2 linked regions of the Drosophila melanogaster genome follow. Each later gene encodes a partner of the first gene's protein in a complex. Each region holds a gene or a part of one and is shown in the gene's direction. Other genes may lie near its edges. The genes, in order: sba and Asx.

Evidence for each region.
Region 2: sba (region 1) and Asx share a complex: the UniProt entries of both Drosophila melanogaster proteins name them as parts of the polycomb repressive deubiquitinase (PR-DUB) complex.

The regions. Positions count from the first base shown.
Region 1 is NT_033777.3:23,918,155-23,927,046, reverse strand, and holds the start of sba (six-banded), read left to right. Parts: upstream 1-4,073; 5' UTR 4,074-4,151; intron 4,152-5,266; exon of another isoform or gene 5,267-5,529; intron 5,530-6,200; 5' UTR 6,201-6,246; coding exon 6,247-7,040; intron 7,041-8,892. Other genes in the region: CG13601 (uncharacterized protein), read left to right, coding at 1-45, 105-418; Ndc1 (nuclear division cycle 1), read right to left, coding at 707-2,045, 2,106-2,503; CG31141 (uncharacterized protein), read right to left, coding at 2,849-3,394, 3,454-3,669. UniProt on the Drosophila melanogaster protein: Non-catalytic component of the polycomb repressive deubiquitinase (PR-DUB) complex, a complex that specifically mediates deubiquitination of histone H2A monoubiquitinated at 'Lys-119' (H2AK118ub1). Important for maintaining stability of the PR-DUB complex.
Region 2 is NT_033778.4:14,500,258-14,508,925, forward strand, and holds the start of Asx (additional sex combs), read left to right. Parts: upstream 1-3,969; 5' UTR 3,970-4,112; exon of another isoform or gene 4,113-4,313; intron 4,314-4,827; exon of another isoform or gene 4,828-4,910; 5' UTR 4,911-4,989; coding exon 4,990-5,225; intron 5,226-5,293; coding exon 5,294-6,224; intron 6,225-6,284; coding exon 6,285-6,888; intron 6,889-6,999; coding exon 7,000-7,092; intron 7,093-7,155; coding exon 7,156-7,224; intron 7,225-7,282; coding exon 7,283-8,055; intron 8,056-8,128; coding exon 8,129-8,668. Other genes in the region: Cpsf160 (cleavage and polyadenylation specificity factor 160), read right to left, coding at 1-1,039, 1,097-1,582, 1,641-2,204, 2,274-3,107. UniProt on the Drosophila melanogaster protein: Non-catalytic component of the polycomb repressive deubiquitinase (PR-DUB) complex, a complex that specifically mediates deubiquitination of histone H2A monoubiquitinated at 'Lys-119' (H2AK118ub1).

The DNA.
Region 1 (8,892 bases):
AGGATGCCCAGATACGAGAAATGACGCGAGTGCTGGCTGATCTAGGTTCCATTTCCTTTCAACCGAAATCAAGTATCACGTAATCATATACCAACTCCTTACAGATTCGCGAAACATTTTCCGGTGGCACAAGGAGCCGATTCAGGAATACGTGCCCTTCGATCCCGACACGCCGGACCAGAGTGCCAGCGCCAGGAATCCGAAAAAGTTCGACAGCTTATATGACCCGCAAGGCGGTATGGCCTTCCGCGCCCTGCACTTCCTGGACACGCAGATCTTCGTGGACGGACGCAACCGCAAGGCCAAGGAGGCTCTCCAGCACCTGGATGAGGTGGCCGTGCAGCTGGAGCAGTCTCTGGGAGAGGCAGCCACCGTTGCCGTTGCCAGCTCACTGCCTACAAAAGCAGCCGACCTTTGACCAAAGCGGCAGCTAGAGCAGGATCTGGCCCTGCTCATGATGGCAGTGGCGATGGAGGAACAGTAAGGCCGCCCGCTTGTACACATTCAACCTGCAGACCATTTCATCAGTGCTAGTTATGATCAAATCGCGTGTTACCATTTCGTACTTTAAGTATAAAAGTCAATAGTATTCTATAACTATTGGACGTTTGTAGTTATATTTATTAATTTTTATTGTTACCGCAGACAAACAACTAAAGAGATGCAAAACAGTGTACAAGATGAGTGTATAAAGTGATGGATGGGTTTACTCCTGGCAGACGAGGTCCTGCAGCTGGCGCAGTTCCTCTCCAGGGGGTAGCAGATCGTCCAGATAGTCGCAAAACGACAAACAGATGGCGTACAGACTGCGTCGCACTGCGCATCGAAGCACGTTAAAGCTAGAGCTGGATATCCTTATGTTGCCTATCACGCTACTTAGCTTATCTAGCTCATTTCGCAGCTTGTTGATCGCCTTGATGATAGCAGGCAAATCGTTCTGCACTACTCCATATGGATCCTCTTTGAGCGAGGCTGCGCACACCTGAGCCAGAGCCTGAGTCATATACACTACGGGCAGGGAGTTGGCCAGCAGAAACGTCGTCTTGGCACCTTCGGGTTCGTTGAATAAGTACACAATGCCGGGAACGCGCTGTAGCAACCGTTGTAGGGACTGCTCCAACTGCGTGGATACACGCTCACACCAGTTGGGAAAATGACGGATGCCATCCGCTGGACTTTCAACAGCAACCTCGCGACTGGGCGATACAATGGGTCGAATGCCGTGTTTCTGGTTGTATTGCCGCAGCAACACCTTCTCGGCCATCAAGCTAGTTGTAAGCGATTCGGTTATCTTCGGCATCGGCAGACTCTGGGCGCACTTGAGTATACTTATCTTCTGCATCGACTCGGTTAGTTCTTCGGTAAAGCTGCCGAGAATGCTCAAGCATTGGTCGCAGAGGGAGCGCCAACTTGCTGGCCGGTTACCCGGCTCAGTCAGCTGGAATATCTCTGCCCGTTGTGGCGAGTTCTTTCGCAACGCCAGCTTGTAGAAATGATGAGCAGCAAGGCACTGCACTACATACACATTGAAAACTCCGAGACCCGCTACCAAGGTTATATCCTGTTCATGGGCAAAAGCAGCTCGCGGTTTAGTCACCACCAGTGGCAAATCCTCCGAGAGCAGAATGCCGTAAAAGCAACGCATTAGGTGCATGTTGCTCAAAATCTGTGCGGTCAGCAAATAGCCGTAAAAAAGCAGGCGCACATTGGTAACAACTCCGAAGAATCCATCCAGTCGCTCGTCCATGTCCACAGAGAGAATGTGACTAAGTCTGTGGCATACCATGGGTCCGAAAAGACAAAATACGGCGGTGTAACTGATCGTAGGCAGCAGCGAACTTAATAGAGATTTGGCCAAACTGGCGTAGAGCAGCTCTCGCATCTTCTCCGCCCGCGATTGCTCCACAATGGGAAATTCAATGGAGATCTCCTTGCGCATGTGAACGGAGACAAAGTAGTAGCAGCCGGCGGTCATACCGATGCCTAATAGATAGACATTGTAAGCACTAATGCAATCCTGGCCATAGCACTTATATTTCAGGTGTCTGGAAATAAAAGGAATCATAGGTATTGACCGAATTCAAACCAACTGTAGGTATACTTACTGATAGTCTGTGTGCAGATAGCCCGTGTAGAGCCAGGCGGTCAGCAGACCGACCAGAAGGTGGGCGAACAGAAAGAGCACCTTGCGTGGACCGTAGTGCAGGAGCCACCGGTAGCGGGTTGGGCAGTAGCGTCGCTCCGACAAGTGCTGCTGGCAAAGAATCACACCGTAGAGCACGACGGAGGCCACCAGAGGGATGCTGGCAAACCAGGTGTACCAACTGGCTACCAGACGCAGTGTTCCCGTCACCCAGGCGAGCGGATGCAACAGTTGGAAGTTCACAAACAGCAGGAACACTGTGAGCAGCAGGAATTGGATGGCCACGCTGAGGAGCACGGCGCGCAGGCAGCGGCCGAGCAGCAAGAGCTTGCAAGCGTTGCTGGAGGAGCTAGCAGACATGTTTGCGCTCCGAACTGCTAGACCATCGAGGTATCACCAATAATTTGATTTAATTCTATAGTTTTCTAATTGATTTCGCGACTAATTGCAAATATTCGACGGTTGCCGACAACGCGCGCGTTGTTGCACTTTTAAGTGTGACCGCATGCGGAAAGTGGAGCTGCCCGTAATCGATAACTCATTTGATGTTCGTAGTGAGAAACCCTAATGGAAAACGGTTTTTTGAAATTTATCTTTTTAATTACAAAGCACAATTTTGTAAATCTAGAAAGTTCACCATTAAAATGGCTCATAAAAACGTATGACTAAATTAGTATATCTTCAATTTTCGACCTAATTTAAGTTTTAGTTCTCCTTATGCTTCGGTCTCAGGTAGCACTGGAAATAAAAGTTGGCGAACATGATAAACATGATGGTCGCGGAGCAGCTGACCAGAAAGAGGGTTCCCTGCGATGCAGTGCACTGCCGCTGCATGGCGGTTAAGGCGCAATGGCCAAACATGAGGAGGAACTGCAGCATTTGCATGAGGGTCAAGTACCGCTTCCAACGCACCGTATTGCCCTTGATGGCCGAATAGTAATAGGCATACATGAAGATATGAACGAATACATTGAAGGAGCACAGGAAGAAGAGTTGACCTCCGTAGCCATAGAATCGTATTATCAAGTATCCGGCGGATGGCATCAGGACGTGGTGGAAAACGTGCAAAAACGTTATTTGCGAGTACTTCTTGCGCAGCACGCAGAACACGGTGTCAAGCAGGTCAACGATCTTGTTTATGTAGTAAGCATAGCTGATGCAGCGCTCCCAGTTCTTCAGCGGATGATCCTGCTGCAGGACAGTCATGCAGCGAAAGTTGTACGGTTGGAATACCAACATGAAGTAGTATCCCTACGGAAGAAGCTTTTATCAATTGAAGAAAAGAATGTAGGCTCAAAATTTCAACTCACGGGCAGGAGCATCATTATATTGTAGAATATCTGGAACATGTTATAGTACTTAAGCACTTTTCGCAGATTATAAGGTTCTCGATGCTCCATGAACTTCCTGCCGGCCTTAAAAACTACCAGAAGGTATCCAATGAGGATAATTATGATGGGACCGGGTCCAGTTGCCAACGGCAGCTGTTTGGAGTCCGCATAGGGCGTCCTAAATATTTCCAACATTTCTGTTACCTAATTATTGTGTACTTTTCAATTTGACAAATAAAACAACTGATGAACCGCCTTGCTGTCACGTGTTTTCTAATGAAAGCCTAAAAATATTGTATGCTTACTTCTTAATTGAGTAATTTCCCTAGGCAAGTTAGATTGATTTGTGTGCAATACCAAATTAAATAAACTTAAATAAATTTAATTGCCACTGTTATTTGGAAACAGCCTTGCCATACCGTTGGCTGATCGATAAGTCCGATATCGATTCTAGAATCGATGATATAATCTGGCATCACCGAACTATCGATTGCTCAGGTCGTAGCTTTGGCATTTTACAGACGTCCGCCTTCGGTCACATCACATTTTGTTGTTGTCGCGGTCGGAAAAGTGCACGGAGTTACGGTCGTCGATTCGTCGATTTTCCGTTAAATACAGCATACAAATTCCAAAACAAATGTGCGCACTCGCCGCCGCCGCAAACGCAGCGCAATAAGGTGTGTAATGTGTCCAATTGGCCGCAAATGAAAGTGAATAAAAGTCATAAAATTCGTGAAGTTGAAATAAAAAAAAAAATATAAATTTTGTGTGCGCGTTTGCCAATGAGAGTGAGAGAGCAGGCCAGAAAGAGAGAATGAGAGCGAGCCATAATATTGCGTGAATCGAATCGAGCGACACAAAATTGTTGTAATTAATTCATATTTAATTGGCATTTGGCGTAATCCGAGTCTGTGCATAATAAAGCCCAAAGCGAAGTGCAGTCGTCAGTTGGTTGTCGTGTGTTTGTTGTGTGTCTCTTGTAGCGTAATGCGTATTGAGGTCACTTTGTACATATTATAGCAGCAGTAAACCGCAGCATAGGCACGCGTATCGTACATGTGCCTGTGTGTGTGTGTGTGTGTGCGATTGCCCAATACCCATACCAGTGCACCGAGATAGCCACCAATGTTCGTTTTCATCCCACTGCCCAAGGCGAACAGCTGCTCTACCCCCTCCCCCTCCTCTGCCCCTTACGCTCTGCTCTCGTGTTGTTTGTGTTGTCGCTGATCGCCGGAGCAGAACCGCAGGGCAGGTGGTGGCTATTGCCCACTGTGCCGTATTGTCCACCGTGCAGCAGAGGCAAACAAACAAACAAACGAACGGGCACGCATTAATTATACTACTTAAAATATGGTCTGCAAATTGTGCTAATCTTAACAACGCAGCGGAGAGCGAATGAGTGAGACAGAGAGGGAAAGGGAGATGGGAGGTGGTGTGGGTGATGCCTCCCCCTCGCGCGCTCTCTCCTTTCCTCTCGCTCACTGCCTTCGGTGTCTTCACTTCATGCTCCATTCACCTACTTTTACGCGCTCTGCGCTCTCTGCTCACCACTTTTCACTCGATTCGCCACTGCTGACGTTCGTTTTCTGAATTCCAAATGAAGTCATGAGATTGTACACCAAAAGAAATAATCAAAACAAACACTATTAAGCACTTAAGGGCTAATGATAGCACCTTTCTATGAGCGTAGCATTACGTTACCTTGATAAAGAGCACCTTTCTGTGGTCAAATGTTGTGCCACGTAAATTAATTAAAATATTTAAAATATATGCAAAAATTTTAAACATACAGATATTTTCCTACCCGTGTACAAACAACACAATACGCATCTAAACGCAAACGTCGTTGTCGCATTATTACAGCTACAAAAGAAGCAGAGAGTGGAATACAAAATAATATCATTGCAAAAAAAAAGTGAAATTAAGTGTTTTAAACAAAAGGAAAAGAAACCATAAAAAAAACATGAACATGACATGGCCGCGTCTCGTTTACACAATAACTCAAAATTAATTTAATATGCTGGCAAATGAGCAAAGCGAAAAGCAAGCTAAAAGGTGAGCGAATAGCAGAATAAGGGGCAGAAACTTAACAACGCATAAATAACAAAAGGTGCGGCCTACGATTTGTCGTTTATACGATCGTCCAGTTAGCAGTATCTATTTAAGTGCGACTTTGGGTTTACAACCTTGTGGTTTTTCCCCTTCTTGCCGCCTTGCTGTTGCTTGTGCGTGAGATGGCGGATAAACCAGATTTAGTCCACTTCCACGTTCATTACACGCGCAGCGCATAAACCCTGATTGGCCCTCAATTCGGCTACTTTGTAAGTGGTCAACTTGTGGAGCAAAACAAAGGCCGCAACGCAATTCCATTCGATTAAAGTCAATGAGTCAACCGAAAACGTAGAAACAAAGACATGAAGACCTCCACTGTAAATAACAATAGGTTAATTGTTTAAATGCAGAGTCATGTCTGAAGAGAACGGATTTTCCAAAAAATTTTTGAATATTTGAACGCATTTATGATATTAAAAGTTTTTGCTATACAATTGGAAGCAAGCCCTTAATTAATGGGTTTATAAGAATGTGTATGGGGAATTAATTAGAGTGTGATAGAGGTTATAATGCTTATAATTCTTATTTGAATAATACTCAATGTAAATGATTATTCTCTGAATGTTCTAGTCTTGGCTGTGACTAATCCGGGAATTCCCTTGAATTCTTTGCAGGCTTTGAATTGCGAAGGAGTTCTCCTGAACGGCTGCTTTTATCGCCATGGCCGCCGCATCTGCTGGCCAGCAACAGCAGCAACATCAGCACCAGCACAAGCTGAACATAGCTGGGAGTGCTGAGACGGTGGTCAGCGGGATGCAACATCAGCAGCAACATCAGCAGCAGCATCAACAGATCAATATGTTCAAGCAGCAGCAGCAAATGTTGCCTCTGCAGCAGCAACATCATCAGTTTTTCCAGCAGCAACAAACGAAATTTGTATCGCGGGTCGTTACAAGTGCAGCGGTGCATCAGCAGCAGCAGCAACATCATCATCAGCAGCAGCAGCAGCAGCAACACCAGCAACAGCAACAGATATTACCAGCTGGCTTGGTAAACGGCAATGGCAGCGGCAACATGATGCAAGTAGCAAATCTGCATCTGCAGCAGCAACAGCAGCAGCGAAACAGTCAGCAGCACATATTTGTCTGCCCCACCAGCAACCAGCAGCTCCTTTTGCAACAGCAGCAGCAACAGCAGCAGCAGCAACAACAGCAACAAACCAAACAGCGCCAGGCGCAAATAAAGTTGCCAATAAAGTCAGCGGCAACAACGGGAGTAACGGCAGCAACTGTTGCTGCTGCAACTGCTGCTACTGGGGCAACGCATTGCATGTCGACAACAATTGCGGCGCGTCAAATGAGTCAGAACAATCAGCTCTATGCCAAGAATGTTGCCAAAGCCAACAATGCCAGTAGCAATGGCAATATCAACAGGAAGACGGCCACTAGCTACAATGGAAATTTGGCCCCCGGCTGGCGTCGCTTGACCAACAACAATGAGGTGGCCTATATCAGGTGAGTAGTCGGTTGGATAGTATCTGGGTACATCTGTGGCCACAGGATATCTCCCAGGTTGAGCATTGCTTGTTGGCTCCGTCGCTGTGCTGTGTTGTACTGACATGACACTTACAGCACGTTTGGCCGGGCCGGGCCGGGCTAAAAGTCAATCTGGTTATTGTCTGGCGAACGCAAACGCATTCGAGAAGCCATAAAAATGTTCAGCGATCCCCTCGCGCTACAGGAAATGCCACTGTCCATGGGGGTTAGCGGGGTCAGAGCCGTCAGAAGTGTGGGGGGGGGGGGGGGGCGCATGTTGTTTAGTGGGCGTCTGGGGGGTTGCAGTAGTCGTGTCAGAAATGTTTTTGCAACCAGGCACAACAGCACAACATCAACAACTAGCAACCATCAACGGCTCGAGGGTAAATATTTACCTGGCATTATCTGCGAGTTATCATCAAGCACACATAATTACAAACGCAAATAAAATGTTTGCTCAGATATGCTGAAAAGCATCGAGTATGTGGATATACATATCTGCTTGCCCGGGTACTTGTAATTGTTCTGGCTGTCCAATCGCCCCCAGGGCCAAAAAAGAGGGGCTCAGTCACAGTATTTCAGCATTTCTTCTTGTTTTCTGTTTTTTTTTTCGGGCTCTGTGCAAACTGTTGGCGATGTTGGTTTGTGGCTGTTGCCGATGTTGGGTAATTGTTGATTTTATAAGTGGCTGGCACTTCTGAGCGCTTGACTCGTCTCGTTGGGATAGTTTCCCTCGCAGCTGTTGCCCCGGGCTCATTTGCCCAGAAAAGGGTTGCCTGGCTGGCTGGTTGGTTGAATGGTCTGTGGCACTGGGATAACTGCTTTTCGAACCACTTGTACGGATTATGGATGCGAATGCGAATGCCAATGCCTCGCTCAATTGGCAGATTGAAAGCTACCAGGGGGCATGTTGTTTGTTTTTCGAGCCGAGATTCTCATTATGACAGCCATGATTATGATTATTGAGCCTTGGCACTCGACTCACGTAGTTTGGGGCGTCAAGAAGTTGCAGCTTATCCGACGCAGTCCATTTACTGGCAATGTCACATTTCACTCAACCGACCAGCCATCCAGTCAGTCAGTCACTCTCTGGGCCATTACCCTTCCAGGACACGCTTTGAGGGCACCGCTGGCTGCCACGTTCACGTCCTCGCCATCAACGTCCTTTGCCCACTGGTATTTACTTGTGCCCGGTGACAACACGACATCGTGTGTCAAGCGTTGTCATTGTCCACCACCAGCAGAAGCAACTACAGCAGCAGCAGCAGCTGCTGCTCATTTCCACGTTGCGTGTTGCTGGTTGCTATTTGCTGTTTGCCCAAGCGGATGGATGGTCGCCATGGCCCCCTTTGCAAATTTTCGAGTTGAGCATTCTTTTTCGTGTATCCGTAAGCCAGTTAGCCCGTTGGTTTGCCAGCGGTGTATTCTGAATTTTGGGTGACAAAAGTAGCTGAAATTCGCAAAAAATATGTGCTCTGTAAGTAGCTTTAAAAAAACAGGGGTGAACCGAGAGCAGTCACTCCTTTTATTCTAGTCAAACCGGTCACACAAAATGGAAGTATATATCCACAATGTCGGAAATTAAATAAAACGAATTTACTATATAAGATTTCCATGTTAAAATGCTCTAATAATCTGGGTAAACATACCATACCCTATATATTTCTAGACCCTCAAGTAAGCGAATCCAGCACCTCTGGCTCTATGAATGCCCCTTTTTGTTTAGCTTCCGTCTTTGGCGTTCGCTCCGTTGCCTTCGTTTTGGCTATTTCTCGGAAAGAATGTTGCACAAATTGTGTACCAAATCAATAATTGTTGCGCAAGCATTTAA
Region 2 (8,668 bases), on another chromosome or scaffold:
GAAGTTCTCCTCGGAATGTTAGGAAAACAAAGCAAGGATTGACGCCGCATACCATAACGCCGGAGAGTCCTCCAACGTTGGCGAATGGTCGTAGTTTTTGGACATACTTTGGTTGCATTTGATAAGATTCTATCTCCTCCTGCTCATCGTTCTCATCCAAGTCAATATGCGTCGGCTGTTGGTCCAGCAAATTCAGTTGATCCATCTTTCGGAAACGTATCTTCAGGTGACCCTTGGGATATCGGAACACCTGGTATATTAGCAGCTCTACTCGAGTCCTGACCAAAAGTAAAGGTCTTTCTCCATTTAGACCCAAGCCTATTACACTCAATTCCAATGGCAGTGGAGAGTTAGCATGCTGCGGCATACAAGCCTGTACAATGCCCGCCTTCGAGTTCTCCTGCGTGGTCAGTGAAATCGGCACGAATTCCATTGCATCCGTAAGAACCATTGAACCATTGCCCACATCGTTTACGAGATACACAAGCTTCATGTCCGGCATTGAGTAGATCTCCAAGGTGCCACTCTGACGGGCAACCACTAACCAATAGCTGGGCTTTGCTTGCACAAGAAGGCGTCGCCACCAGTCCGAGTTCTTTTGTTTTGATTGTTTCGCCAAATCCGCCATGCTGTTCATCTTGAAGGCACTTCCGGCATCGCCGTAGAGCAGATCTTCTTCGTCCTCCACCTTCATGTTGGGCTCGGCCTTCATGTAGCCGCCAAAACTATGTCCAAATGCACTGTTTGAGCTGCCGGTCAGGTTTATATCATCACCTTTCACTGTGAATAGTCCTGATAAATCTTTATATGCCGAAATGGCAACCACTGCGGGTGAGCTGCTAATGGTATGCTTGTTGATAGCCAAACGAGGAGTTCCACGGGTTTCTCGCAGCGCTAATGTGATAACCTGACCGTTGAGCACTCGCAGGCAAACGTAGGGATCTGCTATGGACACCTGTACCACTGGCGAGCCCACATCAATGGGGACATTTTGAATTAATCGAGTTCCTTGCAATAATCTGACATGACGGGTGGTGACCTAATGAATAAAGAAATAATTATATACAAAATACCATTAATACGACCTCAAACTAACCTGAACAATGAACCGCTGCTGTCCGAGATTACCGACAAATATGGTCGGCTGGTTAACCGTAAAGCCCGTATTCTCGATTTCATTAATTTCCTGTCCTGTTTGTAAAACCAATGTAGAATTCCTTTGTGAAAGCAACATGAAATCATGCTGATCATTTCGCGAAGACTTCTTAGTGGCATCATCAAACACAGTCCACACATCGAGGCACCCATCTAACTCAAAGCTTGTTATGATTTGAGGATTAATGCAGTTTACAAATACGGACAGAGCTCCGTTTTTGCTGTGACCCGTGGCAGCGACTAGTTCTATCTTTAGATCTTGCAGAGATTCCGCATGTGGTCGCAACGTAACGCCATCCTCTTCGAATTCCACTCTTTCTCCGGCGCACATGTAGTTGATTGGTGCTACATTCATTAGACTGTCGCACACCTCAAATATGAATTTTCGCAGCTGAAGAACCGATGCCTTAGCTCCAGAACCATACACCTGTAAAAACGATCAAATTTAAAAACAATTCAAAACTTTAAGTATATTGTTTACAAACCTCTAGTTCCTCATCCTCAATACGACGCGATTTTGCTTGGGTCGGTGCCATTTCCAATTGATCTACATCAAAAATTTCCTCCAAATTCTGATCCTCGTCCTGCAGATTCCTTTGCTGCTGCTCCGATTGCTGTTCCACCTCATCTAACGTAATGACCGTGCTCTGGTCCTCCTCTGTAAAGTGCAGCAATAAGGAATTTCCGAGACGTGATCCCAAAAATATGTATTCGGAGTGCAGAACGCAGATACAACTAGTTAGCACACTGGCGGCTGCTTTGTGGAAATGGAAGTTCCTAACCGTTCTCATTGAGTCAACGCAAAGCGTAAGCACGTATAGATCTCCAGTGCGAAGCGAGATTACCAGCTTGTCGACATCAATAAATGCAAAGTTAGCACAATCCAAACTAATACGAACGCCATCCTGTGGCTTCAGTGGAAATGCGGTGCTGTTATCCGCTGAACTGTTTAAACTGACGCCATATGGAGGGACACTCTGATTGAGATAGATTACAGCATTGACTGTCATTACCAGACAACCCCCAATTGGCTTCTGAATCGGGTAAACCTGCAAGGGAAAAATGACACATTAAACGTTGTGACTCCTAAAAGGTAAGTGGCATTTTCAAACACCCACTTGTAGGCAGTCAAAAGGTAGACTGTTCACGGTCCAAATAATCGGATGCACTCGCTGTTGAATGTTCAACGAAATGGCCACCAAAACGCAAGTATCGGAGCGCACCTTTATTCTTCCCGGACAGGTTCGCACCGGTTCGTAGAGTATAAGCAGCGTTGGTTCGTAGTAGCCGTGCAGGAATTGTATGTCCAGAACATTGTCGATCTTCTCATCAAGATCTCGCAGTGCTATCAGGTACGATGCCATAATAGGCGTCCTGCTGACCATTGCCGTCGGAGCCTTTTTAATTGGCTTCACATCCGCTAGCTCGATCTCGTCCAGGCTGTTGTCCTTGCGAAAGGGCAGTACCACCAGCCGTTTGCCGTAGACCAACATGACGGCACACCTGGAATCGGGATCTACGCGAACTGTGGGCACAAAATAGCGACCCGTCCAACCACCACGTATGTCATCTTCCTCGAAATAGTGAAGTGAGAGAGTTTTCAGCGCAAACGTATCGGGATCGTGCTGCAGTACGGACAATTTCGCGTCCTTGAAACTAATCAACAGCGCATCCCGCATGGCACCCGCCAATGAGACGCACTGCAGCGACATCACATTGCCGTAGAGCGTATATGTGGCTAGGCATTCCAGTCGCATTTTGGGCGCCAGACGCATCTCGCTGGGATTCAGCTTTTGACGCTGGCTCGCCTCCACGTTGGGCGCTATCCGGTACACCTTTAGTACATTGGCGCCCGCCACCACCAGGTTCTCATCCAGATTGTTAAAGAAGCGGCATGCTATCGAAAACTCCACCGCCGTGGCGGAGTGCGTCTGCTTGCACATCGAAAACATTGCGGTGGTTTAATTGGTGTCGCAATTTCTTAAAACATTATTAACAATTTCAGCCAGTTTAACAATTTGCCGGCCCAACACACACAGCAGCTGCGGAACTATCGATTGTGGGTGCAAAGTTATCGCTCATTGGATGTGAAAACTTGTTCGCCGTTTTAGTGGGTGGAATACCATATTGGCTTGATTTTTGTCTTGCTTTTTGTTTTAGCGGTTTTTAAGTATTTCGTTAGTTAATATCTTGCAAAATGTATTTGACCAAATAAAAGCTATATTTTTTTATCTGAACATGTAAAATGATACGTATGTTACGTATTTGCATAAGTTACGAGTCTAAACATTTAGAAATTATTTATAGTGCATTTTGGTCTTAGAGCTTGTATATTTTTATAACAATTATTTTGTATGCACACGTTATACAATTATATTATATATGTACGTAAATGTAACATAACTTAAAATCAAATAACCGCTACGTACGTAACGCTTCATATTTGCCAGCTTATTTCTAGCTACTTCTTGACCTGATCGTTCAATCGATAGTTGGCAGCCCTGGTGCGGGAGCAGTGACTGCGCAAATACATCCGCTCCTATCCGATGTATCGGATGCGACATCAACAACCCCATCGGACTTGGCAGGGCAGCCAGAAATTCGAGCGTTTTGCGTTTAAAACTGGCCACGAAAAAACATTAACTAGTTGGTGTGATTAGTGACTAGTGTTTGCGTTGTAGTAACTTAAACAATTTCATTCAATTAAACGCAGCTTTTCTGCATAGTGAGTGTGAGAGAGAAACGGGCGCTGCGCCCGATACGGGAAAACGCGTGCGCCAGAAAGGGACCGGCATAGTTGGCTAGAAAAGAATCATTTTGTAGCTGCTTTGTTTGTGTGTTTGGCATTCACATTTCCCCCATTCAATATTTAATTTAGTGAGCCATTAACGAGGCGGAAATCGGCATTATGCAAAAGATAGTGCTCTAGTACAGATCTAAATCCGTACCATAAATAGGTAAAATACCCGCAATTAGTTACTTAAATAGGAACAAAAGTCATTTTTCTACTTCTCCGATGTGCTAGTGTGCATTTGTGTGTGTTTGTGTGTATGTGTATGCGTGCGTGAGAAAAAAATATAACCAACTTTGCAGGTCGTTCGTATTTGTTGTTGTTACTGCTGTTACATTGTTGATTTGTTTAAAATTACTGCTGGCAAGTGAGAAAAGTCGTGAGGAAAACAAAAACAATAATTAAAACTAAGGCATAACAAACGGAAAAATCTCCGTATAGCCGCAATTTCATTACATATAAAAAAATAAAACACACGCACACACTTCTAACGAAATATATGCGCACATACATGCACACAGATGACGTACATACATATACAAAGGGCGCAACGTTAAAATTATACAGACACTTTTTGCCTTAAAATGGACAATTCGTTAGTGCAGCCGATCAGGATTAATTTCGTGCACTATAGTATTAACCAAAAACTAGTTTTGCCATCTAATATGGCATCTAAAATCGACTGGGAAGCTTGAAAATGTTAAAAACAAGCAATATTGGCTGAACCCCAACACGGATAAATCAAATAAACAAATTTAAATTTGAAAACTATAAGAAGTTACATTCATTTTTGTTACACATCATTTTGCATTTGTATATGATCATTGTCAAGTTGCCAAGCAATTTAAAGTAAAGAATTAATGCTCTGTTTTTAATTTATATCCAAATAAACCATCACATAACAAAACTATTTCATTGTTAACAAAAAAATAATATTAAATTATCTATTTCTCAACATTTCCAGTGTGTGCGGAAGAAACTTGCTTGACATGGGTGCATGGATCAAAAGTTCGCTGTAAATAGATTAGGCAGAGCGATTAACAATGAAAACCATTACGCCGGATACGACGACGACGACGTCGTCGCAGCACCAACAACTTCTCATTCCACAAGCGGATCAGCATCACCAGCCGATGCTGCAGCAGCAATCCCTGTTGGCCGCTCCACCGCCTACGATGATAATGGAGCATGTGAATCTGGTGGACGACGACGAGAAGGATCCTCTTGCGCTGGAGCAACTGGAAGTGTCACCGTCTACCAAGCACACACACAGTCTCAGGTTAGTTCTAAAACGATTTACCCGAGCGCCACGAGAATCTCTAAATTTCTATACTAATTTTATTCCAGACGCCACCTGCCACGCATTATCGTGAAACCAATACCACCTGAGAAGAAACCGATGGCGCCCAGCGAAGAGGCTGCCGTCAGTACTGCTCCTGCCCCGCCCACGCGTTTAATATGCAGCCGACGCATTCAGCAACAGCAACAGGTCAAAGCGGCAGCAGCAGCGGCGGCGGCAGCAGCGGCGGCAGCAGCAGCAGCAGCGGCCGCAGCACAAGCCCAAGCCACCTCCAGCTATCCATCCGCCATCTCACCCGGCAGCAAGGCGGGCACCTCTCAAGCTTCGACCATGCGGGAGGTCCTGGCCTCCATACCCGGTTTTAGTGTTAAGCCCCGTCGGAGGAGCAATAAGAAGCTGACGACAGCAGCGCAGATTGAGCAAACAAAAGACGGAAAGATCGACCTGGAGACCCCCGACTCCATACTGGCCTCCACCAACTTAAGAGCGCTGTTGAACAAGCAAACGTTCTCGCTTTTGCCACCGCTCTATCAATACAATCTCATACAACTGCTGCCCAGCGTGGATCGCGAGGCCAGCGAACTAGAGCAACCTAGCAGTAGCGCAAGTGGAGGCAGTCCATCGGAGGCTATAAGGCTAAGTGCCTCCTGTCTAAACAACGAGTTTTTTGCCCGAGCCTGCTTGGAGTGGCGGGAACGACTAAGCGAAGGCGAGTTTACACCCGAAAACCAGCTGAAACTTAAAACGGAAGCAGAGCGCGAAAAGAACAAGTTGGATCCCTGGAAGCTGAAACACTTTGAGCCCTTCTGGGGCGAGAAGAATTCTAGGGGGAAGGATAAGGATAAGTTAGAAAGCGATTGCAAGAATCAGAAGCTTTCGGCAAGCATTAAGAGTGAGCCCAAACCACCAGCGACATCGCAACAAAAACCACTGCAACAAGCAACATGTGATAATGAGACTGAATTAAAATTTGATTTGGTAAGTTACCAAATATTCCCCATTATTTATATCCCAGTTATATTATTGAAAAACTTGCAGAGCACAAAGTGCGAAACGACATCAGCTAAAACTACAGTAGCAGTGGCAGTAGCAGATAAATCAAGCACGTTTCCACCCACTGGCAGCCAGAATAATGTGCTTAACGAACAGCAACGCCGTGTCCTCAAACGTCCATCGAGCAGTCCTTCGCAGCGCAAGCAGGCACCCACAACGATAGCGACCATTAATTTGGACGATGATCTCGACGAGCTGCCCAGCACATCAAAGGACAGCAAGCAGCCGAAGATGGACGAAATTGTTCCTAATGCGTCAGGGAATGTTGTCGCAGCTCCAATGGTTGATGTTGTGGATCACTCTGCAGTCGAAATGAAAATCAAGGACGAGCAACAGCATCAGCGACAACATCAGCCACTTATCAACAGTACCTGTGATAAAATTGAGCCATCTGAATGCAGTAAGGAGATGATCGTTGCCATGAAACAAGTGGATTCTAAGGAAGATGTGGACTCCATTGCATCGGCGGCTGCCATGCCAGCAATTGCTGCCGTTACCCCACATACACCAAAGCCGGAAGCGTTAGCACCAAATCCGGATGTGGCTAACCAATTTGTAAGCTACTTACAAAACGTCGAACTAGCAGCTGGTAAGTAAGAGCTATTCAGAGCGAACAATATAGATAGCATTGCATTAGCTATATTAAGAGTACTCCACCCATATAAATGGCTTATTTAAATTGGCATTACTATTATTGCAGAAACCAAAGCGCCTTTGGACAATTCAAACGAGGCAGATATAACGACAGGAACAAATAGCCATGATTTCGTTTTCTCAGATACTATCGATCACGGTATGTTCGTCTAGTATAATTGCCAGAATAAGTAACTAATGTTTCTTGTTTTTTGGTTTTAAGCAGCCTATTTTCAAGAACATCAATCCACTATCAATCACAACTTCTTCACTTCATCTTCATCGTCCAACAGTAATCAGAGTTATTTTTATGCATTGAAAGAATGTAAAATGACACGTTTTCTTTGCAGCGGCGACAACTGCAGCTAATAAACTGGAAGAGCATAGTGATAAGCCGGAGGACTCACCGCTCCCCATTGCAAGCTCAATTTCTGGGTCGACGCCGGCCAGTTCGATTACATCGACCAGCTGCACATCGTCCTCATCTTCCTCCGCCTCAATGTCATCTTCGTGCTCCAGTAGCAATTCCGGCTCGACGACGACCGCGCCCACAACTTCATCGTCGGCCGGAGCACCAACGGCTCCACTGACGCTGGCAGCAGCAGCTGAAACTACGTTGGCAAATGTCCAAGCCATGCTTTCAACTGTGGCCAAGTTACAGCAGCAGCAACAGGAGTTACCCGTGGAGTTGAACTCCAATGAAATGTACCAGCATGTGCAGCACGATTGGAACTTTGGCGACATTAAGTTAAGCAGTTCGCAGTCAAGCGGAGATCAGCAGCGTAATCTAAGCCATGAAGCAATCGATCTGATGGATGTAGTGCAAGATGCCGACGTCATCGACGACATTATGCACAATGATGTGTGCCACGATGTTCTCGGTGACGAAGATGAGGGTGATCAAGAGGAGGATGAAGACGATGAAGTGGTAGAATGTATGACGGAGGAACAGCAGTTAATTGATGAAGACAGCGAAGCTGTCCGTGAAATAGTGGACAAACTGCAGCAGCATCAGCAGCAACAAAATCAGCAGCAGCATCATCAACAGTTGCATATCCAGGATGTCGTCCAATTGGCTCAGCATTCGTTTATGCCGCAGGCCCATAGTGAATTTGGAAATGATGTGAGTCCAGACAATGAAAACATTACCAAAATGCAGTTTTAACATACATTTTTGTTTTAACACCCATTTCTAGATCGGCCAGGAAATGCTCTGTGATGCTGTACCAATGTCTGCTGCCGAAATGGAAGTGTCCAGCACGGTGATAACCAATAGTAGCAATAGCAACGACAGCAGCAACAACATAAGCCTATGCAGCAGCACCAACAGTCTTACCATTAATCAAATGCCGCACCAAGCATCGCAACAGCCGCAACAGAACGCTCAGTCCAATGCACAGCAGCAAAGACAGATATTGGTGGATTCCAATGGTCAGATAATTGGCAACTTTTTGCTTCAGCAGCAACGCCAACAACAGCAACAGCAACTACTACAACAGTTCACGCTGCAGGCGGCGGCAGCACAGCAGCAGCAGCAACAACAACAACAGCACCAGCAACAGCAGCAGCAGCAACAGCAAGCAACAAGTAGCAATTCCTTGGGCAAGACATTACCAGTGGCTCTCCGCAACGGAACCCAACAGTTCTTGTCTCCTAACCTGATCGCACAGCAACATCAGCAGCAGCAGCAGCAACAACTGGAGCAACATCAACAGCAGGCTACGGCACAACAAAAG